Rhinolophus ferrumequinum: one gene and its partners. The protein of the gene in region 1 interacts with the protein of each later gene in a pairwise test. Links are inferred from orthologs where the notes say so. Each region holds a gene or a part of one and is shown in the gene's direction. Other genes may lie near its edges.

The links.
Region 2: the proteins of HSPD1 (region 1) and SAMD3 interact in binary tests that used the Homo sapiens proteins (3 or more experiments, as listed by UniProt). The two-hybrid records come from large-scale screens. The link is inferred for Rhinolophus ferrumequinum from reciprocal best matches to the Homo sapiens genes HSPD1 and SAMD3.
Region 3: the proteins of HSPD1 (region 1) and TMCC2 interact in a two-hybrid assay, tested with the Homo sapiens proteins (2 studies listed by BioGRID). The two-hybrid records come from large-scale screens. The link is inferred for Rhinolophus ferrumequinum from reciprocal best matches to the Homo sapiens genes HSPD1 and TMCC2.

What each region holds. Positions count from the first base shown.
Region 1 is NC_046291.1:33,113,330-33,120,407, forward strand, and holds the start of HSPD1 (60 kDa heat shock protein, mitochondrial), read left to right. Parts: upstream 1-4,071; 5' UTR 4,072-4,229; intron 4,230-5,132; 5' UTR 5,133-5,134; coding exon 5,135-5,308; intron 5,309-6,435; coding exon 6,436-6,688; intron 6,689-7,078. Other genes in the region: MOB4 (MOB-like protein phocein), read right to left, coding at 1,574-1,619, 1,702-1,791, 2,792-2,956, 3,578-3,580. UniProt on the Homo sapiens protein: Chaperonin implicated in mitochondrial protein import and macromolecular assembly. Together with Hsp10, facilitates the correct folding of imported proteins.
Region 2 is NC_046286.1:77,949,234-77,957,275, reverse strand, and holds the start of SAMD3 (sterile alpha motif domain-containing protein 3), read left to right. Parts: upstream 1-4,977; 5' UTR 4,978-5,032; coding exon 5,033-5,111; intron 5,112-6,073; coding exon 6,074-6,263; intron 6,264-8,042.
Region 3 is NC_046305.1:25,953,510-25,961,088, reverse strand, and holds the start of TMCC2 (transmembrane and coiled-coil domains protein 2), read left to right. Parts: upstream 1-4,532; 5' UTR 4,533-4,784; exon of another isoform or gene 4,785-4,916; 5' UTR 4,917-5,009; coding exon 5,010-5,216; intron 5,217-5,553; exon of another isoform or gene 5,554-6,279; intron 6,280-7,579.

The sequences.
Region 1 (7,078 bases):
TATGTAAAACTTGAGATGACACTGGATTCCACAAGTAACTGTAGTTCAATAGAAGCTTGTTCTATATTGTTATAATGTTGCTTTTTTAAAAAATGTGTACCTTTGAGATGTTGTCATGATTCAACCACCCAAGAGTAGAATTTTAAACCAATCAGTCTAGAACTTCCTGATCAACACTAGTGAGGAATGAAGTGCTCCATCTCTAGACCTGGACCATAAACACTTCCTTTGACTCTGTGGAGCGGACTCCAAGATGGAGTCTGGGACCCTAAATGATTGTGTGGAACAATGCCCTTCCCACCAACTTGCATTGTACTGTAACATTGTGAAAAATAACAAACACAGCTAGTACTTTTTGAAGTCCGAGCTGCCACCCCAGTGGAACTGCTTTGGAAGTCTTACTCCTCAAACCTTTGGAATGTTAAAACTGGGCAAAATAACCTTTGTACTGAGCCTAAAGCAGCACTGCATTCCAAACAACTGTTTGCAAAGCTATCAAGAAAGCAGACATGACTGCCAGACTGAACATTCTTTAGAATTAGCATCACTGTTAGCTTATCCGCACCTATAGAAATTCCCTTTTCATGCAGTTAGTTGTTCCCCTTCCCTTTCTCATAAATACCTTTCCTTCACCTAATTGAACACTATGTGGGTTTTTATCTGAAGCAGTGTAGAGTAGCTTTGTGGATGAAAAAAGGGGTTCTATTAAAAGTAACCTCACAGTGATCTAATCATAAATTCCTAACTGGGCAGGCCATAGTGAGTAGTCATGTCTGAGGCATGTATCTTCTTTAGTAGAAGGTTAATCTTTAAACAAGCCCAGTCCATTGTTTCTATGCATCTAGGTAGGTACACATCTTTGAAATGCCTCTCTTCAGACCCCCCCCCTTCTAAAGTGGACCACCCTCAAGAGAGCAGTCTTAACTATCTTGTAATCCAAAGCTTGCTTTCTCCCACCTTATGTAATCTTCCTCAGTTCCCACCTTAATCTCAAATGCCTAAAAGGAACTGCAAACTAACCATGTGGGGAACATTTGAGATCTTGCTCCCAAGTGTACGTCATCAATTTGGCTCTAATAAAACACTTACAAAAATTCTCTACAGGTTTGGTTGTTTCTTACATCAAGAGCTTCAACAGCTACAGCTATTCTTTTGGATCTCATTTCCTTGTTGCTTCTCAAAAAAAAAAAAAAAAAGTAAGTGTAAATCCATGGCTTTGTATCAGCATCAATTACCTATGGAGTCAACCTAAATTCAGTGTGAAAATTAAAGCCTTGTTTCCCAGAATTTGCTGCAGGTTACTTGAGAAAAAGCAAAAAAGTATAAACTAGAGAACCCTAAAACCATCTTAAATCACTAAATAAAAATTAACCATTTATTTGTATATTTTTATTTGGAAATGTTTGTATCAGTACAGTGGAACTAAATTTTAAGAGACACTAGATGTCATTACTTTGGATATTATTAGTTTATTACAAAAGAGACATGGAAATTATTTACATGATGAGATTTCAGAACTTCAGTGGAATGGGCAGCTTCACGTGATGCCATGTCAGTAGTGATTTATTTCAGTCTACATACTTTCCAAGAATGTCACCATCTCTAAACAAGAAATAGTCCTGCAAATAGAGAAACCGTTAGTTAAGAATAAAGACAAAAGCAAATACTTAACTTTTTTTTAAAACTATTAAGTTTACACACCTTGTCATCTATAACTACTTTGGTGCCTCCATATTCTGGAAGAAGAACTTTATCTCCAACTTTCACGCTAACTGGTTGAATCTCTCCGCCCTTAAGAAATTAAGAATATTTATTAGCAAAGACATCTAGTTCACCAAATATTTACAGCTAACTTCTATTAATCAAATGTACTCACTCAAATCAACTGTTAAAGAACTTGGTAGTGTTATAATTTATACAATTGTAGTTCTTAACTCAAAAATATCACTGTAGAGTTACATTTTGAAATAATGCCTACACAGTGGCTTAAACTGAAACCTGATTTCAGTGTAAAAGTTCAAGGAGTTATACTGGGAAAGCTAACTTAAGCCAAGTTAACTTAAGCTAATTTTTTAATGGTTAAATATTAACATAACCTATGGACTATGTAAAATAAACTAGTTTTTAAAACCATGTGTACATGGTCATGGTTAACTTCAGCATACAAATTTTTTTTTTCAAATTTCCTGAATTTGAAACATACTTCTTTGGAGATTCCATTTCCTTTCCTCCAAAATACAGATTTGGGGAGAGGGATGGAAGCACTGTGCCCAATCCCCAAAAGCTTTCTATTTTTGATTCCAGGATAGCTCCTTTCTAGAAGTTTCTCTGAGGCACCTGGAGCAATTAACATATTTGACCCCAACATTTTATTGTGTATTCTGCCTGACACTTTGAGGTCTGAGATCTAACCAGTTAATTGGAAAGTATATGGGAGGGTAGTCCAACCAGTTCCTTTCATAGGTATGCCAAGCAAGGTGAAAGTAGTTAAAAGACTAGCACAATCTCAGAGTTAGAAGTTAGACCAAGAATTCAAATTTCCCCTCAATTCTTAAAAGCCGCCACAATTATCTTCAAGCATAAATTGTAGTTTTAATATCCTCGAATTCTCTATCATATAAAATAAGCAATTTTACAATCATTTTCATTAAAGAGACAATTAGACGTGATTGAACTAGGGAATGATCGTGAAAATAAAATAAGCTACTTAAAAAGCTATTTTTAATAATAACCAATAATTATTTTTCTGTCCATTTCACATAAAAAATAGTTCATTTTAGCCCCCATTTACCTTTCCTTTAGAGCCGGATCCAACAGCTACTACTGTTGCTTGCAATACTTTTCCTTGAGATTTTTCTGGAAGCATAATGCCTCCCTTGGTTACAGTTTCTGCAGCACTCCTTTCAACTAATACTCGGTCAAAGAGGGGGAGAAACTTTCTAAATGCCTGTCCTGCCTGTAGAGAGAGAAATGTTTGATTTGAAACAAAAAGAATATGCGATTATATTCTGAACAGGCAATGCCATCGTAAATTACGCTATCAAACACCGCATGTGGCTTTCCAAGATAACGGCCCAACTCAATTACTCGTTCACGAAACCCACTGAACGTTCTGAACTTTCTGCTCTATATTCCAAGTCAATTTCCAATTCCCTATGTGTGTTAAGGGTCATTGTTACTCCTCTGGTCAGCAGCCAGACGAGCTTTACAGTCAACCTTAGCTTATTCCAAGGTCACGTATTTTCCTTCCTTAGGTTTTTCTGAAAATGTTCAGCACACACTGAGGTCAATCTCTCCGCCTAAAGCCATGCTTTCTTTACATTACACAGGCCCTGCAGGAACAGCGGGTCCGCCACCGCGCGTGCATCTGGGTTCCCGCCCCCTAGCCTACACGCCCGCCGCACACGCGCGTGCAAAGAACCCTCGGCAGAGGAAAAGGTCGACAGGACCTGGCTTCTCCAGGGTTCGAGCGGATACCGACCCCTGGGTGACCCCCTATCCCTCCTACTAGGCCCAACGCGAACTGTCTCAGGCCGATCCATCCGGGCACGCCAGGCACCAGCCCACGCGGACTCACCATGACTCCGGCAGCAGCAGTTCGTACTCTGCTCTCGCGCCGCGGCCGCAAGGAGAGACCTGCAGTCCGGTTTTCGAGACACGTGAACTTTAGAAAAGGCTGCCCAGGGCGCAGGCGCGCTCGCTCCAGCCACCCGCCCCTCCCCTTAAAAGAGGGCGGCCGCCGCGGCCCGCGCCGCGATTCGTCCCCGGGGGCTCTGCGCAGGCCACTGACGCAACGACCGGGAGACGGAAGAAAAGAGGAGCTCTTTCTAGGCTTTTCTAGGCCGCCTGCGGAGGTGAAAGTACTAGCCCTTCGCCTCCTCCCGGAAATGACGCTATTTGACCCTTGACCCACAGAGAGTGCGTCGCTCCCCGGAAAGTTCTGGAACCGAGCGTAGCCCGGGAACTAGCTTAAGCCGGCTCGAGAGGGCTGAGCCCGCTGGCCCGGCCCGGCGCGGGGAGGGAGGGGCGGAGCTGGCGCGCAGCGCGTGCTGATTGCCGGGCCGGGCCTGGGAAAGAGGTGGGAGGCGCCCGCACACGCTGTGCCGCGGGGCGGGGGAGCGGCGGAGGGAGGGGACACAAGCTCATTGCCGTGTGCGCCCTGTACTCTGTCCCTCACTCGCCGCCGACGGCTTTCCTTGCCGCTCGCACGTCGTGCTGCTGCCCCGCAGGTATGCGGCCTCCCCGCATCATGTCACCCAGGCGCCTCGGACCCGGCGCCGGCCTTCCCCCGCTGCGGTCCTGCCTGAGTGGGCCGGCGGGATAGAGCCCGAGTTTCCCGCCAGTGCCGGAGGCCATGGCCCGCTGGCCCAGGCCTCGCGGATCCATGCGGGAGCCCGTCACGTGCGGCAGGGATCGCTCGCCGGGGCAGGGCGTAGGAGGGAGGGCTTGCTCAGGAGTGTGTGTGGAATTTGGGGAGTGTATTCACATGGGCCCTCCGATGCAGCCCACTCCTGGCCGGCTGCAGAGATTCGGGGAAGGTAGTCCCAGCCGCGTGGAGACTGCCTTTGGCCCAGCGGGGTTCGGCCCCTCCACCCTTGACCTTGCTCGGGGCGTCTCGATGAAAAGACACGTGGGGCCCCGGCCGCCAGCATCGGGGCCTGGCGGACTGCTCAGATACAGTAACCCCGACTGGATACATGAAGACACATTTTACTCAGCAGATTTTTGCACCGTCAGGAATGTTTTTACTCCACCGGCCACCGTTTTTATGACCTGCCCCTTTCTTGCAGGCTTTTCTCAGGGGCACGTTTGGAATGGGTTTGCTCTGAAGGCCCTTTTAGCGGTAAAAGATTAACTTGTTTAGAGAGGCAGGGGTAGGTGGCCAGGAGCAAGAAGGTGGGTGTGCCTTTTGCCAGTGCGGTAGGTCAGGCGTGGGGGCAGCCCTTGCAAGCTTGCGCTGGTACTTGGTGGTCTGTAGTTGGGGCGCCTTCTGTGGCCCAGGTTTGGTGGGTGGCAGAGGCCAACCTAGCTCACGGCTAACATTTCTTGTTCTGTTGCACAGGTGTTGTAACCTGCTTCGGGTAATGCTACTATTGTACTGATGATAAATGCTTGTTTCTCCTCCTCCCCAGAAATGCTTCGATTACACGAAGTCCTTCGCCAGATTAGGCCAGTGTCCAGGGCACTGGCACCTCATCTCACTCGGGCGTATGCCAAAGATGTAAAGTTTGGTGCAGATGCCCGAGCCTTAATGCTTCAAGGTGTGGACCTTTTAGCCGATGCTGTAGCCGTTACTATGGGGCCAAAGGTATCAGTATTGTTATTGTTGTAATTTATAATAGTACTCTAATTAGGGAATAACTTACTGATGGCAAATAGTCACACTGAACTATAGAACAGTACGTGGGTATCCTTTTTTGAGAGAATCCAATTTACATGTGAGTTCCACATTATGGGTTAATCTTTTTTTCTTTTGCGTATATATAATGGCCTTAAAACTTAAACTTCTGCCAAATTTGTGAGATTTTATACAATGTGTCGTAGAATCCAGTGGTAACTCATAACTCAAGGTGGATCCTTAAACTCAAGGTAGAATTAATCTTGCTTGCCTACTTGAGTTAACTTTTGGATTCTTCTCCAGTCCGTTAGTACCAAGCATAGAGGGAAGAATATAATTTATCTCCTATAATATCTCAGGAGGTGCTAGTTTTACCAGTGTTTTTCTGCTGTCCCTTCTGTTCCAAAGCACATTTAAAATTTTAAGTCTCATTTAACATGAAGAGATTGGTGAGTTGAAAGGTAATAATTTGAGGAAGACAAAGGTTGTGCACATTTCAGATATCAAAGTGATCCAAATTGTATAAAATGTGGCATTTGCATGCCTCCCAAATAGCTACTTGGTTTCAAATCCAAAAGCTGCCAATACTCTGCACCATGTTTGAGATTTAATGTCGAACAACCCTGGAAGAGAGTACTGTGCTTGCATTGCTGTTAGTATTTTAATAAGTATATTTCAAAGCAAGTTTAAAAGTAAGTGTTCGCATTAATTTCAAAATAGCTGACACTGGATAAAACTTAACTAGAAATTATGTGAAGAATAAGCTGGAATTTCATTATAATCTACCAAATTGGTATTGTTTTATCTGTATTCTTGTTTCATAAAATGTCATCTTTTAGTCTCTAGGTTTTTTTATCTCACATAATTCTTCATCCAGAGTTGTGCCCTTCGCAATAGAGAGGTCATTTTTTCTGTAAACTTAGAACATCAGTGAACTTGCCCTTGAGATTCATGCTGCAGATCTGATTTAAAAAAAAAAAAATCATGTTGAGGCTTTCAAGTAATTACCCTATTATTAAAACTGCTCTTTCTGTTTTAAGCTAACTAGTACTTTGAGTGTGTGATTCTGTCACATTTTTTTTTCTCTGAAATTGTAGGGAAGAACAGTGATTATTGAACAGAGTTGGGGGAGTCCCAAAGTTACAAAAGATGGTGTGACCGTTGCAAAGTCGATTGACTTAAAAGATAAATATAAAAATATTGGCGCTAAACTTGTTCAGGATGTTGCCAATAATACAAATGAAGAGGCTGGGGATGGCACCACAACTGCTACTGTACTGGCACGCTCTATTGCCAAGGAAGGCTTTGAGAAGATTAGTAAAGGTGCTAATCCAGTGGAAATCAGGAGAGGTAGGAATGTCTTTTCATTGTCCCCCCAGTGTTTTGAACTGTCTATTAAATTATATTAGAAAGTTGATTCTTCCCTTAAAAATTCTTAACGTTGAGTATTGCTTCAGCATATAATGATTGAATACCTGGCTACATATGTTGTTAAGGAGAGAAAAGTGACTAAGACATTCCCTGTTGCCAGTCCCCCCCAACTCCTCTAGACCCTCCCCCTGAAAGCCAACAGTTTATTGGAAGATACAGCATATACTGTGTATCTTGAAAATAGGAAACTTGTGGGGATTAAAGCAGAAAGATTATATGGTTTTGATGTTTTATGTTTTACTTTAGTTATTCGGAAAGTAGGGCTTAACAAGAAACTAAGTCATCCAAGGATGTCAACCGGTTTTTGTT
Region 2 (8,042 bases), on another chromosome or scaffold:
AAGAGTATCGGGACACCCAATCCTATCAGTCCATTGTTAAGACTGTTCCATTTCCAGCTTGCCCCAGGCATCTGCTTGCTAAAGAAAGCTCCTGGGCAGTGGACGTAGGCCTTTCCCAGCTGTGGTGGTTACACCTGAGAGGCTATGGGGGGATGCTGATAAGTGCCTCCTGGCCAAGAGATTAGTGACACAGAAACTGTTTACCTGTGCTGTCCAAAATTTAAATTTAAATTAATTAAAATTAAATAAAATCAAACATTTATTTTCTCAGCCACATTAACCACATTTCAAATGCTTAATAATTATAATGTGGCTAGGGACTAATAAATTGGACAATGCAGATACAAAACATTTCCATTAGCGATAAAATTTCTATTGTTCAGTGCTAGTTGGTATGTAAGAGAGTTTGGGGGATATTCCTTCCAGAAAGCATTTTGGCAAAAAAAATCAAAACCTTTATAATTGTTTATACCTCTAAGTGAACAATCCTGATTGGTAAAGGAAATAATTCTTGAACTATCTATCATCTATGAACAAAGACGCTCACTGTAGTGAAGTAGGAATATTTTTCTGTGAGTCCCCAAATGATGTAAATGATGCAGGATCTGCTGGCAGTTTCTGGGTGCGGGCCGGGATCGTGTCTTGTGAAGCCAAAGAATGGACACATGGACCAGGGTGAGGCAAAAAGTTGTAAAAAGAGGATAGTTTACGAGAGGCAGGAGAGAAGGTTGCAGCTCCCGAGTGGGAGGGGTTCCCGAATGGGGGTGCCGGTGACTGAGGCAAAAGGCTTTTACTTTTATACTTTCCCTTGCCTGCTTGGGGTAGGGGGCTGGAGCCTTCTAATAGAATTCATCTATTAGGTTTGTCCTGTTTGCTCATCCTCCCAGGGATTAATGAACCAGCCCATTCCTATCAGATCTGCTCCTTTGTCCGGCCAGAAGGGATTTGAGGTTATCTATTAACCTTAAGGTGTATTCTCATGTCTCTGTCCCGGAGTGAAGGAGACATTCCAGGGCCTGGAGTTTCAGGATATGGCTGCTTTTTTGTTTATTCCACTAGGGACCTCCCCGTCTACCGAGCAACCATACTAACTAACCTGTCTCAGTAGCATTATTTTTAATAACTATACCCACACATACACACAAAACCAGAAGCAATTCAAACACTCAACACTTGGGGTAAATAAATTATACCTCCAGAAATGGGAAGGCTATCTATTAAAAATTATGTTTTAAAAAGTTGAATGACATGGGGAAGTTCTTTTGATACCAGGAGAAATAATAGAAGTAAAAAATAAAAATAACTATACGATAGTCTTAACTATATTAAAACATATACAGTACAAGGTTTAAATATTTTTCTTTGTATCTTACTAAGTCTGACAATTAAGTTCTCAAACTTGCCACCATGCGCTTACATTGGCAGCACTGTACAAACAGCTCGGTAAGGTTTCATAGCCTTGGTATATCAGTGTCTCACTGCTGTGTTCGTGTGGACGTGTGGCGGTGTCTTGCTGAGTGGTGTTCATTATTGTTGCATGTTTCTGTGTGCCGTTGTGAGAATGTCTGAGATAAACCCTTCCTTCTCATACATATTATAATGTACTTTACGAAAGAACACCCTTTTCTGTAATTTATCTGATACAACTGCATAAAAAAAAAATCTCACTAAATTATGAAATATACAGTCAGCTTAGTGACTGTCCCAAGCATAAGTATATCTATAAACTGTGAACTCAGTATTCCAGGCTCTCCAGTGATCTTTCAGACAGGTCTTCCACCAGGTGTTCACCATTCCAGGCAGTACGGTCCACTTTCGCATCCCAAAACCTCGTTTATTTCTGGCTTTTTAATTTTCAGTTCATTCTATTGGCTCCACTTCCTCTGGCTCCTTCACTATCTAAACTATATCTTTCAGTCAGATTCCAAATCAAGGTTCCTTCATTTCCAGGTGAGTGGGAAAATCCAGCTCATAGGGCTTTTTATGGCACCCATCATAACTGACTTTACGTTATACTCTGCTTATGGAGGTGTCTTATCTTCTTGGTCAGGCTTCTCACTTCTTTGGTGTATCCCATTTACCTCGCTCTGAGCTCTCTAGGCAGTGACCCTTTTGATGACTTCAGGTAGGCAGGGGTTCTAGTTGACTATTCCAGTTTTCATTCCTCCTGATCTGGTGATGACTGGAATGAACAATGGCACAAAGTGGACGCAATGTTTGGCTCCACTGGAGTACAATGATGTCATGGCTTCATTTTGGAGCAAGGTTCTACCCAACAGGATGGCCTGGACACTGCTCCATGCGACAGTCACATCCCTAGGCTTGTTCCTTCAAGTACAGCCGTTCCTTTTCCCAGGGCAGAATGAGCCGTTGATCCAGGAGAGGGCATAAGCCACCAGCAAAGCTTTTGAAAATCTTTTGTTGTCTTAGCTTGGAGACTCTGGGGATTTAAAAACAAAAATGCAAACAGAAAGAAAAGTGACAAAATGTTTTCATATTTTCTTAAAAAGTGCTTTTTTGTGGTTGATGTTTTTATATGCTACATCGCTCTTGAAGATTATAAACCACACTCATAGCAATTTGCACTATTACCTTCCTTTGGAGTTTTCACAAATTTATTAAATAAAAGTTGCCCACATTTTGGTTGCATTAGCTGAAGTTTTAGCTCTTCCTGGCTTTAATTAGATGAGATCCCTTAATATTTAATATAAACTTTTTTAAATTGAAGTATAATTTGATCAAATAATGAGACTAGTTTGGCTGGAGTAGTCACACATGCTGTTATTATTTTTATTCTTTTTGTATTATTGTGTCTTAAAATATTTAGTGATAGTACTTGTCTTCACATTTCAAAATCTTTTCAGATATTTCTGCAACTTCTGGACATGCAGCAAAGCTGCTGGATATATCTTTTCTCATTTGACATATCTTTTATTCCTTTATGTATAAAATCATAAATAATCTCTCCATTCTGTATGGGAGAGGACGTTGTAAGGTTGCCATTTAAAGATCTTATATTATCTAGGCAGTGATAGTATTTTATTTTCTTAAATACTCAGAAAAACAAGTGGGCAAAAACTGTAGTCTTTTTTTTTTTCCACCATCTTGGACTGTCTCAAAACTGTAGTATTCAAAAAAAAAAAAAAAAAATCTTACTGTGTTTGTATGAGGTTAAAACTTGATAGCTGTTTTGTTTTTCCCAGAAGTAGAATTAGGTAATAATCTGGGAATTAAAACATGAGAGGGTTTCCAAGTACTCATTTTATTTTCAAATTTCCTTTTATCATTTGATGGCTGCAGGGAAGTATCTTATGCTCTGCATACCTTTTAATCTTGGAGTTTAGAGAATTGTTTTCGGGTGTTTTTTTTTCTTTCTACGTCCCACTCTTCACAAGGAAGCCAGAAGTGTGACAGGGAGGTGTGATTTTTAATTTACAGCAGAGTCGAGCAAATAATGACTTTTCACACCCTGCTCTAGCTGCTTACTTAGCCTAAGGGAGGAGTTCTGTGGCTATTGTTGTCTTAGCAAATTAAATCCACTGCTGTAATTCAGAAAGGCATTCTTCTGTACTTAACCCTTGTTTTCAATTTTGCAACTTGGTTTTTGTGAATACTTATGAGAATGTGGCTTATTACTTTGAAGTACACTTGTTTTATAGGAAATGATTTTTGAAGGCTGTTCTCTTTTCAACTTGTCAAGTATGAAAGGTAAATATGTTTTCCCTTTCCACCACTCTTGTGATGTTGGAAATTGTCCACTTATTCAAATACAAAGAAATGAAAAATACAAAATTTATTTTGAGAACTTCTAGCAAAAAAATTTAAATACATGATCTAATATTTTTTTATCTTTCGGTATGATTCCATTTCTCCAAGAGTCGCTTTCCCGTCTTTATAAAAGAGTCAGTGTCTCACTATACAAGTAAATCTACATCATCTTGGTTGAAAGATGAAATCGAAAGTAATATTAAAAGATTAAAATGTTTTACGATTTTTCAGTTTCTCCCCCATCCAAAAAGTAATTTGGGTTGAATTATAAACACACACACACACACACACACACACACACACGCACAGAATGAGCTGCCTCAAGGAAGTAGGAAAAAATTATTGAAACTGGTATGCTTGTTTTAAAATTTCTAAGTGATTATAGATGAGTGGTAGCATACAAAAACAACTGAATAATTAAAAAATACTTTAAACTCTGAATGCATGTCTTTCACTTATGATTAACATAGTTAATTATTTTCCCATTTTGAATCTGCCCAAATAAATTTTTTATAAAATGTTTTCAATCAACGTGCTAGTGTTTCCCAGTTATCTTACCAGCTATAATGGTGCTCAATAAAGTTCTAGAACTGAATGGAATATATAAGAGTATTATTGGAAGGAAGGAAAGAAAGATTCAGAGACATTTGAAAAATCTGGCTCCTGCTTCCTCCTCTTGCTAACCCAAAGTAATCAGAAGCAGCTACCAGCTCTGTCTCTTGGCTGAGCAGCACCAAGGGGTTAACCAGTCTTGGTTTACTGAGTGTCTCTGTCAGGCTTTTATCTGCTGCTTCCTCCCTTCCTCCCCTGCCTACCCCTTTTGTAAATGTCAACCACTTCCTGATGAGCCTAGTAGTGGTGAATTTCACACCTTTCTTTTCTTTGTGAAGAAACCTGGGTGTTAATGGTACAGGATTGGGTACCATTGTACATCTCTGGCTGTCTGTTAGTAAAGCTAAGGGATGCCTGTGGACAAAAAAGTAGGGGAAGGTGGAGAAATTTGAGAAATGAGACTAGGAAATAGGTTCAAATCGGTCTCATTTTTAAAGAGAGTATTTGTTCTGCTAGCAATTTTTAGATGTGTATTCAGAAAATAGTAATTTTAAAGAAGCTTAGTATTGAGAGTTTAAAAGAATTTGCTAAAGGAAAGAGATGAGATTAAAGAACTGACTGGTAAAAATATCAAATAAAATAAAACAAAAATCAGAAAGAAAACTGAAGAATCTTTCTCTTCTACAGGTGTATTTATTTACAGGATACAGCAATGGAAGCTTGGTCAGTTGATCAGGTCTGCAGTTGGTTGGTGGAGAAAAACTTAGGAGAACTAGTTCATAGGTTTCAAGGTGAGTTGTTTATACTTTTTAAAATGTTAATTGAGCTGCCAGTTATTGAGTGTCCTTTGTTATTGGTAATTGCTTTTGGTGCCTAATGCCTGTGAGTGTGGAGCTGCTGCAGTGGGGAACTTGCATTTCTTGACCGACTGGCAGAGTCTGCATTTGGCCTAGTATCGACAGGAGAATATATTTCAAAAAGAACTCAAATAAAGTAAAGTCTTAAGGGGGGGGAGGGTGAGGGGATTGGAGGGCAGTCGGTGACCACAGGATGGCCACGGTTTTGAAAATTAATCTGGGGAACGTAATTTGGTGGTTACCAGAAGGTAAAGGGGTTGGGGGGTGGGGGAGGAGGGTGAGGGGGATCAAATGTATGGTGATGGAAGGGGAGCTGACTCTGGGTGGTGAACACACAGTGTGATTTATGGATGATGTGATACAGAATTGCACACCTGAAATCTATGTAATTTTACTAACAATTGTCACCCCAATAAATTAAAAATAAATTTAAAAAAAAAAGAGTTACTTAAAATACATATTTCTTATCATTTGATACTACTTTTGTCCTTAAATAATGAAGCATGTGTTTTGTGCAGTGCTGGATTTCCAAGTAGTGAGTATTGCCTGGGAGGTGTTGTTAAGAATAATTTCTTGAGAATTTTTTTTTTCCGTATAAAAAATGATGCCAGTAAGAAAGAATCTGAAGGGCGAGGGATGGAAATAATGTGGAAGTAATAAGATTTTATTGTGACTCCATATTCTAGTTTTTTTCTTCGGAGCAGATATCGATTTAGAACTAGGCAATATCAGTGTTCTATCTTTGTCAAAAATACAGATAATTATATAACATCAGAGGATAAGTTTAGATGGTCCTTGTTACACCAGAAATATTTTTTTCTTGCTCAGAGTGCTGTGTTTTGCAATGCTTTAGCCAGACAGGCACGTAGAGACTCTTTTTTCTTTCATTTTCCCAGAGGAAGAAGTAAGTGGGGCCGCCCTTCTAGCACTTAATGATCGGATGGTTCAGCAATTGGTAAAAAAAATTGGGCACCAGGCAGTTCTGATGGGTTTAATTAAAAAATATAAGCAGAAGAGTCAAGGACTGAAGTTTCCTGGAAGCCCTCAAGAACCAGCCCTGCTCACGCAAGCAGCAGCAGCCCCAGAGTAAGTCGTTTCACGAGTGCCTTATCTTTGTTGCTGTGCTTTCCCAATCATGGCTATACCATGACATTAGAAAAGTGTGACAATTATCAGCTAGACTGTGTGTACAGTGTTTCTAACATCTGCATAAGGAACATTTCTTGCAAAGATTTATGAATCGCGATATGTATTTTTAATGCACCGCTTTGTAAACAGTGATGCCAATTGTTAGGGTAGTCCTATAAGCCTGGAGTTCCTATGTAGAAACTTCTGTAACAAGCAGTTGAAATGTACATACAACCTGAGTAGGAATGGATTTCTTCAGTTTGGTCTTAAAATCAGGATTTGGGAAAGGCATTTTTGCTGCTCTTTTGCTTTTCCCTAAACTCTTATTGTATTTATGTATGTGTTTATTTGCCAAGGATTCCTTATAATAACTAATTTGTATTCTCCTCTAGAGGCCTTCACATTATAATTTGCTGCAGGTCTTCACAGTATCATTTGCTAAAGACTCTTGATATAATGGGTTTTCAAATTTCTCGAGAGTATTCTCAGAATACTGAACGCTATGATAGCATCCCACAAAAGTCATGTAGAAAAATTTGTGGTCGCTTTGAGGTTTAGGGATGTTTTCATTTGTTTGTTTTTTTACCACTGACTTTTGCAATGATAACAGGAATTATAAAATTTCAATATTCACTTTACATATCTATGCCCCAGGATCAGTCCAGGCGTTCTGATTTGGTTATTCCATATTCTAGACTTTTGCAATTTTTCTAAGGTTAAATAATTGCTGAAGAATAATTGTTCATTAATCTTAAAAATACGATTGTGAGGTTTGATGAAATCTATTCTATGTATTTTTTTTTCAGATTACGTCTGTAATAATATATATATTTCTGTCTTGCTCTCTGATAAAGAACATAATATTAGAGAGACCTGGCTTAAGTAATTTGATTTCTAGAATATTTGGATGTATGGGACTTGGACGGGGCAGGTAGACTTGAAGGGATGGTCCATGGTTAGTCTGGAGATGATACATCCGATTTGTTTGAAGGATTTCTCCTAAACAGTGTTTTGACATACATATACAAAAGCACACTCTTCAATATGTGACTGTTGGTGAAGTTCCCATTGCATGTTTTTACTCCTTTCCAGCAAAGGGAGGATATGAACCTCAACGAAGCTCAAAGTAACTTCCCAAAAGTCTTGGATGAATCGGACTTTTGAGCTGAAGTTCTCTTCAGTTGAGTAGAATCTTGATATGGCCTTAAGCATAACTTAGAAGAAAACAGACCGTCTTGTTGCCACTGCAAAGCAGTTTATAATGTTCTCTAGTACAAGAGAACTAGCTGGACTGCCAAGAAATCTGGGCTGCGTTCCTGGTTCTACCACTGACGTGGATTGATTATGTTAAATGTTGACATTCCTGCTGCTTCATCTGTAGCTTGTGAAAAGTAATACAGTACCTAACTCCATGTTAATTCACACTAATGTTAGGAGTATCACAATCTTTAACAAAATCTCTTCTCCTTCTCCCAGACCAAAATAGTCTCTTATTAAATATTAAGCTTCGTTAACCTGATTAAGAAAGCTATTTTCAAATGTAGCCAAGACTTGGAACAATGGTTGTCCAGCAATTTATGAGGGAGGGTTTTTCACTCTACCCAGTAAGTAGCTGACTCATTTTAAGGATTGTTCTGGTATAAAACCACAATTACAGGTGGGCTTATTGGTTATATTTGTTTATTGTCAAATATATTTTCACTTGACAAGTATATTGTCATGAGGGAATCATGATAA
Region 3 (7,579 bases), on another chromosome or scaffold:
ATAGATGGAACTGACACTGATATTTATCTTCAGAAGTAAAATAATAAACAACTGATTCTCTCTGAGCAAAGCTATTTTCTTTCTTTCTTTTTTGCTTTCTTTCCTCTTCTTTCTTATTTTTTTTAGGTCTAGCATTTTTAGCTTTGAGTAACAGATTGTCCAGAGGTTTGTAAGGATTCCCTATGCAGATGGGAAAGGACACAAAGCAGCCATTTTAGCAGCCCCAGGCTTTCACACAGAGCAGTACAATCAGGGTTTAAGTTTATGCCTCACAAACCTCCTCTGTTCGTGGTCACGATGATTGTGACTTTTCTCCGATTACCGAGGAGGAACAGCATGCAGAATGAGGAATACGCACCCTACCTGAAATGAGAAGCAGGAACTTCCAGCTTTTTGTAGTACAAATAGGAGATTCACCAGTGCGGAGTCAGACAGACCCTGGGGTCTCCTATGCAGGTCTTAGGGATGTTGTGAGAGAAATGGTCACTAGAGGGGCACTTTGTTTGTTTCGTTTAGTCCTTTAAAACATTGACAGGTACCAGAGATTCTATGCTGTGGAGGAATAATATATACAATTTCTGAATAAAAATAGTAATTACAGTTTTATTTCTGAAGTCAAAAAATTGAAACAATTCTCTAAGGATAAGGTGGCTAGAGGTTAAATAAACTGTGGTATATTCACCTGATAGAATGATAAACAGTCATTTAAAATGGAAATATGACCAAGTTGTAGCAAATGGAGTAACATGGAAAAATGTAATAACATGAAAAATGCTTCTGAGTACATTTTAAGCAAACAACAGGATAAAATTTGTTTAGTCTCAGAGCTAGCTCCAACTCAGGAGTGAAGGAGAGCCCTCCCAGTCCTGCCTGCCTCTTACAATAGCCAATAAAAAGCCTGTATTTTGGTGGTGGGATTGTGACATCATCAACAATCTAACCAATCTCCCTGACGATTATTTGCATAGTTTATTCCTCCTAATCCAGCAGAACGCAATTTCTTTTAAGGAGAGCATTGAGTGGAAGTGGAAATCTCCAAAAGAAAGGGAGGAAAATCACATTAACAAAGGAGTATATTTAATGATGTTGGTATCAAAATACAGTGATCCAAATTATTATATCTAGTCTCTCTAGAGAGTGCTTTCACCTTCTAAGGAAAACACTCTACGTAGTATGTTAAAATAGTTCTTTGAAAACTACCTACTCATTTGATGTTTAAAATTTTTTTTAAGAATTCCTACAAAGTAGGAAACAATTTTCTTGGATAATTTACAAGCCTCTTACTATTGGCAAAAGGAAGGCTTTTATTTCTCAGACTTAATTGCTTTTACAAAACAACAACAACCCAAAACCTACTCCTTGCTTACCTGTTGATCTTGGCAACTTATCCTCTATTATTAAAACTTAATCAGTTTATCAAGCTAAATGAACTGGCTGTTGACAAGGGAACAGGATTCCACAACCCTGATCTTTGCCTTCCTTGTTTATACAATTTACTGGTTTAACAAATTTGATACCACCAGGTGTGCCCCCTTTCATTAGCCTAACTGGGATTTCCTTCCACAAATAGCATTAAGTTTAGTAGGACAATTCTGCCTTTCTCATGTGGCAGACAGGGGGTTAGACACGTTTGTTCACTAACTTTGTTTCATTCAAGTGTACTGGGCACACACACTATGCGTCAAGCATTTTCACATGCATTATCTAGTTTAATCCTTACAATAACTATGTGAGGATAGGTAATATTAGTCCCGCTTATAGATGAGAAAACCAAGGGTGAGAGAAGTTGAGTGATTTCGTTGCCCAAGAACACACAGGGAGTAACAGAACCATAATTCTTACATGTATTTCTAACCCCAAGACCAGTGTCCTTCTTACTGCACCATGTTATTTATTTGTAATTAACTAGTGGTGCCAAAGCAGAATGGAAAATCCTACTCCTACATACCAAATGTAATCTCTTGCATTGTAAATCTGCAACGTTTTGTCCTATCTTGAACATCAAAACATAGTATGTGCCTATATTTTTCCAAAGAAGCCTAAAACAATAGAATGATCAGATCCTTTAAACAACATTTCAACCAAAGTCCTTTCAGATTCTGTTTATCTTAGGTACTCAAGAATTTACTATGGCTAATGAAAATGTGCTCTCAGCTTCAAACTCTATATACTTCCCACCCAAATTCCTCAGCAATTTGTTCTATAATATGACACTCAGTTAAAGTCAGTAATGGGTGAGATACATTTAAATGAATTCCCAAGGATAGAACCATTGGAGTGGAATGTGTGATGCTTTTGAAACTGGATGACATCTCTGATTATAGGTATGGCCCTCATTCTGTGCCAGGCAATGTCTAAGTACCTTACATATGTTACTCAACACCCTCTAAGGTTGTCTAAGGTATCATCAGTATTCCCACTTCCAAATAAGGAATCTTGGGCATAAAGAGGTTAGACAACTTGCCTCCAATGGTCAGTAGAGAGCAGAGCCAGGATTTGTCCCTAGCAGTCTGGCCACGAGAGTCTGCCTCTCCTAAATGGAATGTAAAGTATTACCTGATTTCATGAAACACACCACAGACATTTTATTGACCTGTATTATACCTTGCTAAATATGGCCACAAATAGGAAATTTGGCCATCATGCTATATATACATAATATAAAAACCAAACTTGAGGCCAACTTCAGTCTAGTATAGAAATGAGGCATAAGTCAAAATTTAATGGTCTCCACTTCCTTAAATCTTCACACCGATTTCCTCCACTTTTTTCAGCTTAGAGGCAGGTCATAAACATGTGCTCACCATTGCTGGCCACTGCTTGATACCCAAGACTCGCCTGGAGTCTGTGGGGCTCCTCCACTTCTCAAGGCCAGTCAGGCAGCAGACACCTGTCTGACATCTTGCAACCTGGGAATCTGCCCCCACTGGTTCTGTCTAGTTCTGCCTCCTTCTTCAAGGCATTCTGCCTTTCCCTCACCACTGAAAGTGCTAAGGCTCATATCTTGTGTTTCTACATTGTGTCTAACACTGTGTAGTGGATGTGGGGGGTGGTTCTACATTTCCAGCCCATCTTCAATTCCCATCTTCTAAAAATGGAGCTGCCTAGTTTAGAAAGTAGCTTGCTTGACTGAAGTAAATTCTTAACAATTTAGGCTCTTTTAGGATACACATCAAAATGAGTGGTTGGAATGGGAAAAAGACAGAACAGAGTCAGGAAACTCACAGACTAGTAGGACTGAAGTGAGGTTAGAATAGCATGATGGGTGTAAAAGAGATAGGTAAACTGTAAAATGCTGTAGAGATCATCACTGTGTGACTCACTGACTAATGGCTCCTTCACTACAGTCTAGGCCAATGGTTCTCAAATGTTAGCTTGTGTCAGAATCACCTGCACGACTTGTTAAAACAGATTTCTGGGCCTACAATTTCTGATTCAGTAGGTCTGGCTGGTGTCTGATAATTTGCATTTCTATCAAGTTTCCAGGTGATGCTGATGCTGCTGGCCCCAGGACCACACTTTGAGAACCACTGTTTTAGGCTGCTGGATGGGCAAAAACTCCTATCCCCAGTAAGCATACAGTAGGCACTCAGGGGGGGTTGTTATTATTAGGCTCCATACTTTGATAACCCCAGTATTTGTTCTCTTCTGCCTCCAGATTACTCAGTGCAATTTGGCTGAGATTTATGGGAAAAAGAGATTGCATTCTTTTCCTTCTCTGTCATATGTCTCAATCTCCTGCCATTTAATACCCTTTCTTATTTAAGAGCTGCTTCACAGTTTGCAAGGAACTTTCACACACATTATTGTATTCAAATATATTTAATTTGTCATTTCTGAGCATCAAGCTAAGATTCATACTGGAGTTACTTAAAGTGGGGAAAGGAGAGATGGGGCAGAAGAACACCTCCACCCTTTGCATTTGTAGCGCTGAATATAGCCAAAAGTTTGTGTTTCAGACCATGTTTCCTAGAAAGGATGGGGTCTTCCTCATTGAAGGGATGTATAGTATAACATGAACTGAAAAGTTAGAGCAAAAAAAGCAGTGATGAGAAAGCATCCCTACTGAGCCCCCTACCCACCAAATAAAACGAGTGGGTGGAGGATATCCGGAGAGTGCCTTTACCGGGAGGGTCCCTCCGGCATCTGTTAATACCGGTCCCGGGTGGCCCGCCGCCCCCGCCTCAACTCGGCAGCCGCTCTCCGCAGCGCAAACACGCAGCAGCACAGTCCTCCAGTCCTCTCCTGGGGGCTCACGCGGCGCAACCAACCCTAAAACGTGGCCGCGCGACGCCCCCTCGGCCCTCTGGGCTTCCCATTGGCCCACTGCCGTTGTCACTCCCTCCTTGCCTCGCCTTCCCCTTACCGGCATGTTAGGTTGCGCTTGCCGCTGGCTGGGGCCGCGACCGCTGCTTTGCAGCAGGCAGAGCGCGGGTGGGGAGCTGGGCGCAGGGATCCGGGCGCGGGCGGGGAGCTAGGGGGCCGGGCTCGCGGCGGACTCTGCGACCGGCCCATGCGGGGCGGGGGCCAGGGGCAGGGCCGGGGGCCGCAGCCGGCGCTGAGGGCGGCCGCGGAGGACCTGCCCGGCCGGCTGCCCCCTGCCCTGCCTCGCCCAGAGCCCGGGCAACCCGGAGGGATGCGCTGTGCCTCCAGGCTCCCCCGTCCTGCCTATGCCCTGAAGCAGAAAGTTCGGGGGCCAGGGACCGTCCTCCTCCTCCCGCTCCAATGACTGCCCAAGGACTCCTGCTGCCCAGCCTCGGCTGTGCCCTGCCTTCGCTCCCCAGGTCGTAATGAACTATTCCAAGCTGTAACCAACGCTCCCCCTCCTCGCCCCTTCCTCCCCCTTCTTTAAAAAGATTTATTTTTTAATTCAAGAAATTGTCTTCCGCCGATTCCTTTCCTCGTTAATCATTTAGACCCTGGGCCTCGTTTTTGAGTGTAAGGGGGTGCGGTCTCCCCGAGGACAGCGCTCTAGAAGGGCAGAATCCCCTGGCCGCCCCACATACATCATGAAGAGGTGCAAATCGGATGAGCTGCAGCAACAGCAAGGCGAGGAGGATGGAGCTGGCCTGGAAGATGCCGTTTGCCACCTGCCGGGCGCGGAACTCCGGCCTGGGGAGGCCACGGGTGCTAACTCTGCTGGCGGGCCAACTTCGGACATGGGCGCTGCGGTGGCGCCAAACCCGGGTCCCCGAAGCAAGCCTCCGGATTTAAAGGTGAGCACAGACCCTCCCCTGGCCAGCCTAGCCAGTGACTTAGCTTTTCCCGCTCAACGCAGAAGTGCTTTAACAGGATACAAGTGATGGGGAAGCCAGGCAAAGGTCAGAGAGGATGTTGGGCCAGAACACTGGGCTGGACGTCAGGTACCATTTGTGCCTCTGTCGTTCAGCTCCATTTCAGGCCTCTGTTTATTCCTCATTATTCAGCAGACATTCTAGTGACTCACCCATCCGAGATTGTTTGAATGATGTGTGTGAAGTACTATTCTCAGACAAAGGGCTGGAGAAATCCAAGAAGCTAACTAAAAAGTTGACATCACTTTCCCTCTTGTAGGATGATAGGAGAAGAAAATGACAGCGTGGAAGGCCAAGCAGAGGACCATTAGTTTCCTTTGCTGTTTTAGTTTCCTCCTTTTGGGACCTTCCTGGATGAAGCTCAGTTTGTCCATCTGTGAAAGGGGAGTGTGGATTTCTTGCCGTTAGGTGGAGCCAGAGATTAAGCCAGTGCTTGAAGATCCCTGCCTGCCTGCGGAACCAACCCCCAGGGTGGAGAACTGACAGGTGGCCGATTGGTGCTTGGGCTGGTTTGGGGCCTCGGTTCAAGTTGCACACATGCTGAGCCGGCAGTTAGAACCAGAAGCGGAAAGAGCCTATCACAGGCAGCTGGGAGTTGTTTATTTCCTGGCCTGAGGTTGCCGGGACTATTATGGAGCTGTATTGAATATGTCTCTATATTAATTAAAACAGCAGCTGGGATAAATAATGCACCTTTGCTGGAGCTGCCACAGGGACTGCACGCTCAGGCTTCTCAAGCCAGCTCCCCACCAGCTTGAGCGACATGATGTCAGCCGGAGGAAGGAACTTAGATACCCTGGAAATTGATGCCTCAGAGAGATTTTCTCCAGAGGGGGTGCAAGGTCTTGCTAGGGGAGCAAAGAACTCTGTTATGTTAAATAAAGCCTGTATCCTATAGCAGCAGCCACTAAGGAGCTCACCAGAATAAGCCAATGACATTCCTCATTTGGCCTGAGCGGCTCAGAGTCAGGAAGTCAGAGCGCAGGTGAGTGTGCTCTTAACCTGTGTGTGTGTGTTACCTGTTTGTGTTCCTTGGGGAGAGGTGAGAAGGGGGACAGTTAACTCTTTGTGCGTACTTTAAAAAATTGTAGTAGTTATTCAAATGTGACCTCTGGTTCTGCTGCTGCCCTTTTCAGAGGTTCGAGACTAGCCTTATGTCTAAAGATGAGCTCTGCTGGCTAGGCTGTAACAGGACACTTGGCCCAGCTGTCACCCCTGAGCCCACCCTGTGTGCTCAGGTGTGGGTCCTATTTTAAATGAGATGGTAAAGGGACAGGGGTGTCCTTAATGCTGATGTGGGTAGGGGCCAGCCTTCTGCTGCAGACTTCAGCTTCATTCTGGGTTGATTCAGTTGAGTCTGGCCAGAAAACCCTGATTTCTTGACCAGATGGGACCCTCGCTCTGAGTCCATGAGGGGCAGCCTTGGAAACTCCTCATGCTCCAGCTCTTATGACAGCTCTAGTAAACTGCCAGCTCCATTCATTTTCCCAGTTCGGTTCCCTTCATGAGGATAGGTGAGCTGGTTGTGGAGTGGGGGCTGCAGTGTCTGTCTGTGTAGATAAAGCTGCTTGAAGAAGCTCATTCCCCTCCACCCTATATCATACCTCTGTCTCTCTCTCTGGTGACACCTTCATTCTGGTTGTGGCAGTTACAGCAACAACTCTACGCTTGATATTAAATACTGAACTTCCCTGAACCAGAATTAAGACCAGGTTTGAGAAAAGGAGTCATACCCCCCACTCCCAAGAAAACATACCACCAAGGTTGATCACTGCTATGTTGACCCAGGATGGCAGCTAAATGGAAAAAACATAGCTGCTGCCTGCTCAGTGGAAGCACCGGGAGACTGGGGGGGCTTTTCCCGTTTATCTCTGTCAGCTTTCTCACATGTTTACAGGGTATGGACTTCAGAACAAGACATGAGCTTAGGGGCTATCGCAACTTGATTTGCTGTGTGATCTCAGGCAAATTACTCAACTTTTCTGAGCCTTTTTCTGGGGAAAGGGACTAGGAATATTGAAGTATGTCTGAACATGTTCTCTAATGCTGGAAAAGTTGTTTTCCAGTGTTTGGCACAGTTTGCTAGTGATGGAAAAATTCAGTCATTGGCTCTAGCACTGGGCAGAAGCTATCACCCCTGTTTTAGACTTGATGGTTGTACCAAAAAGGAGCAAATTTAATTTTTAACACCTCCCCACCCCACACGTGTGTTTGGCCTAGGTAGGACCAGCAGTTCTGGCTTGCTTTTGTTTTCATTTTAAACTTTGGAGATAGGAACTTTTGGT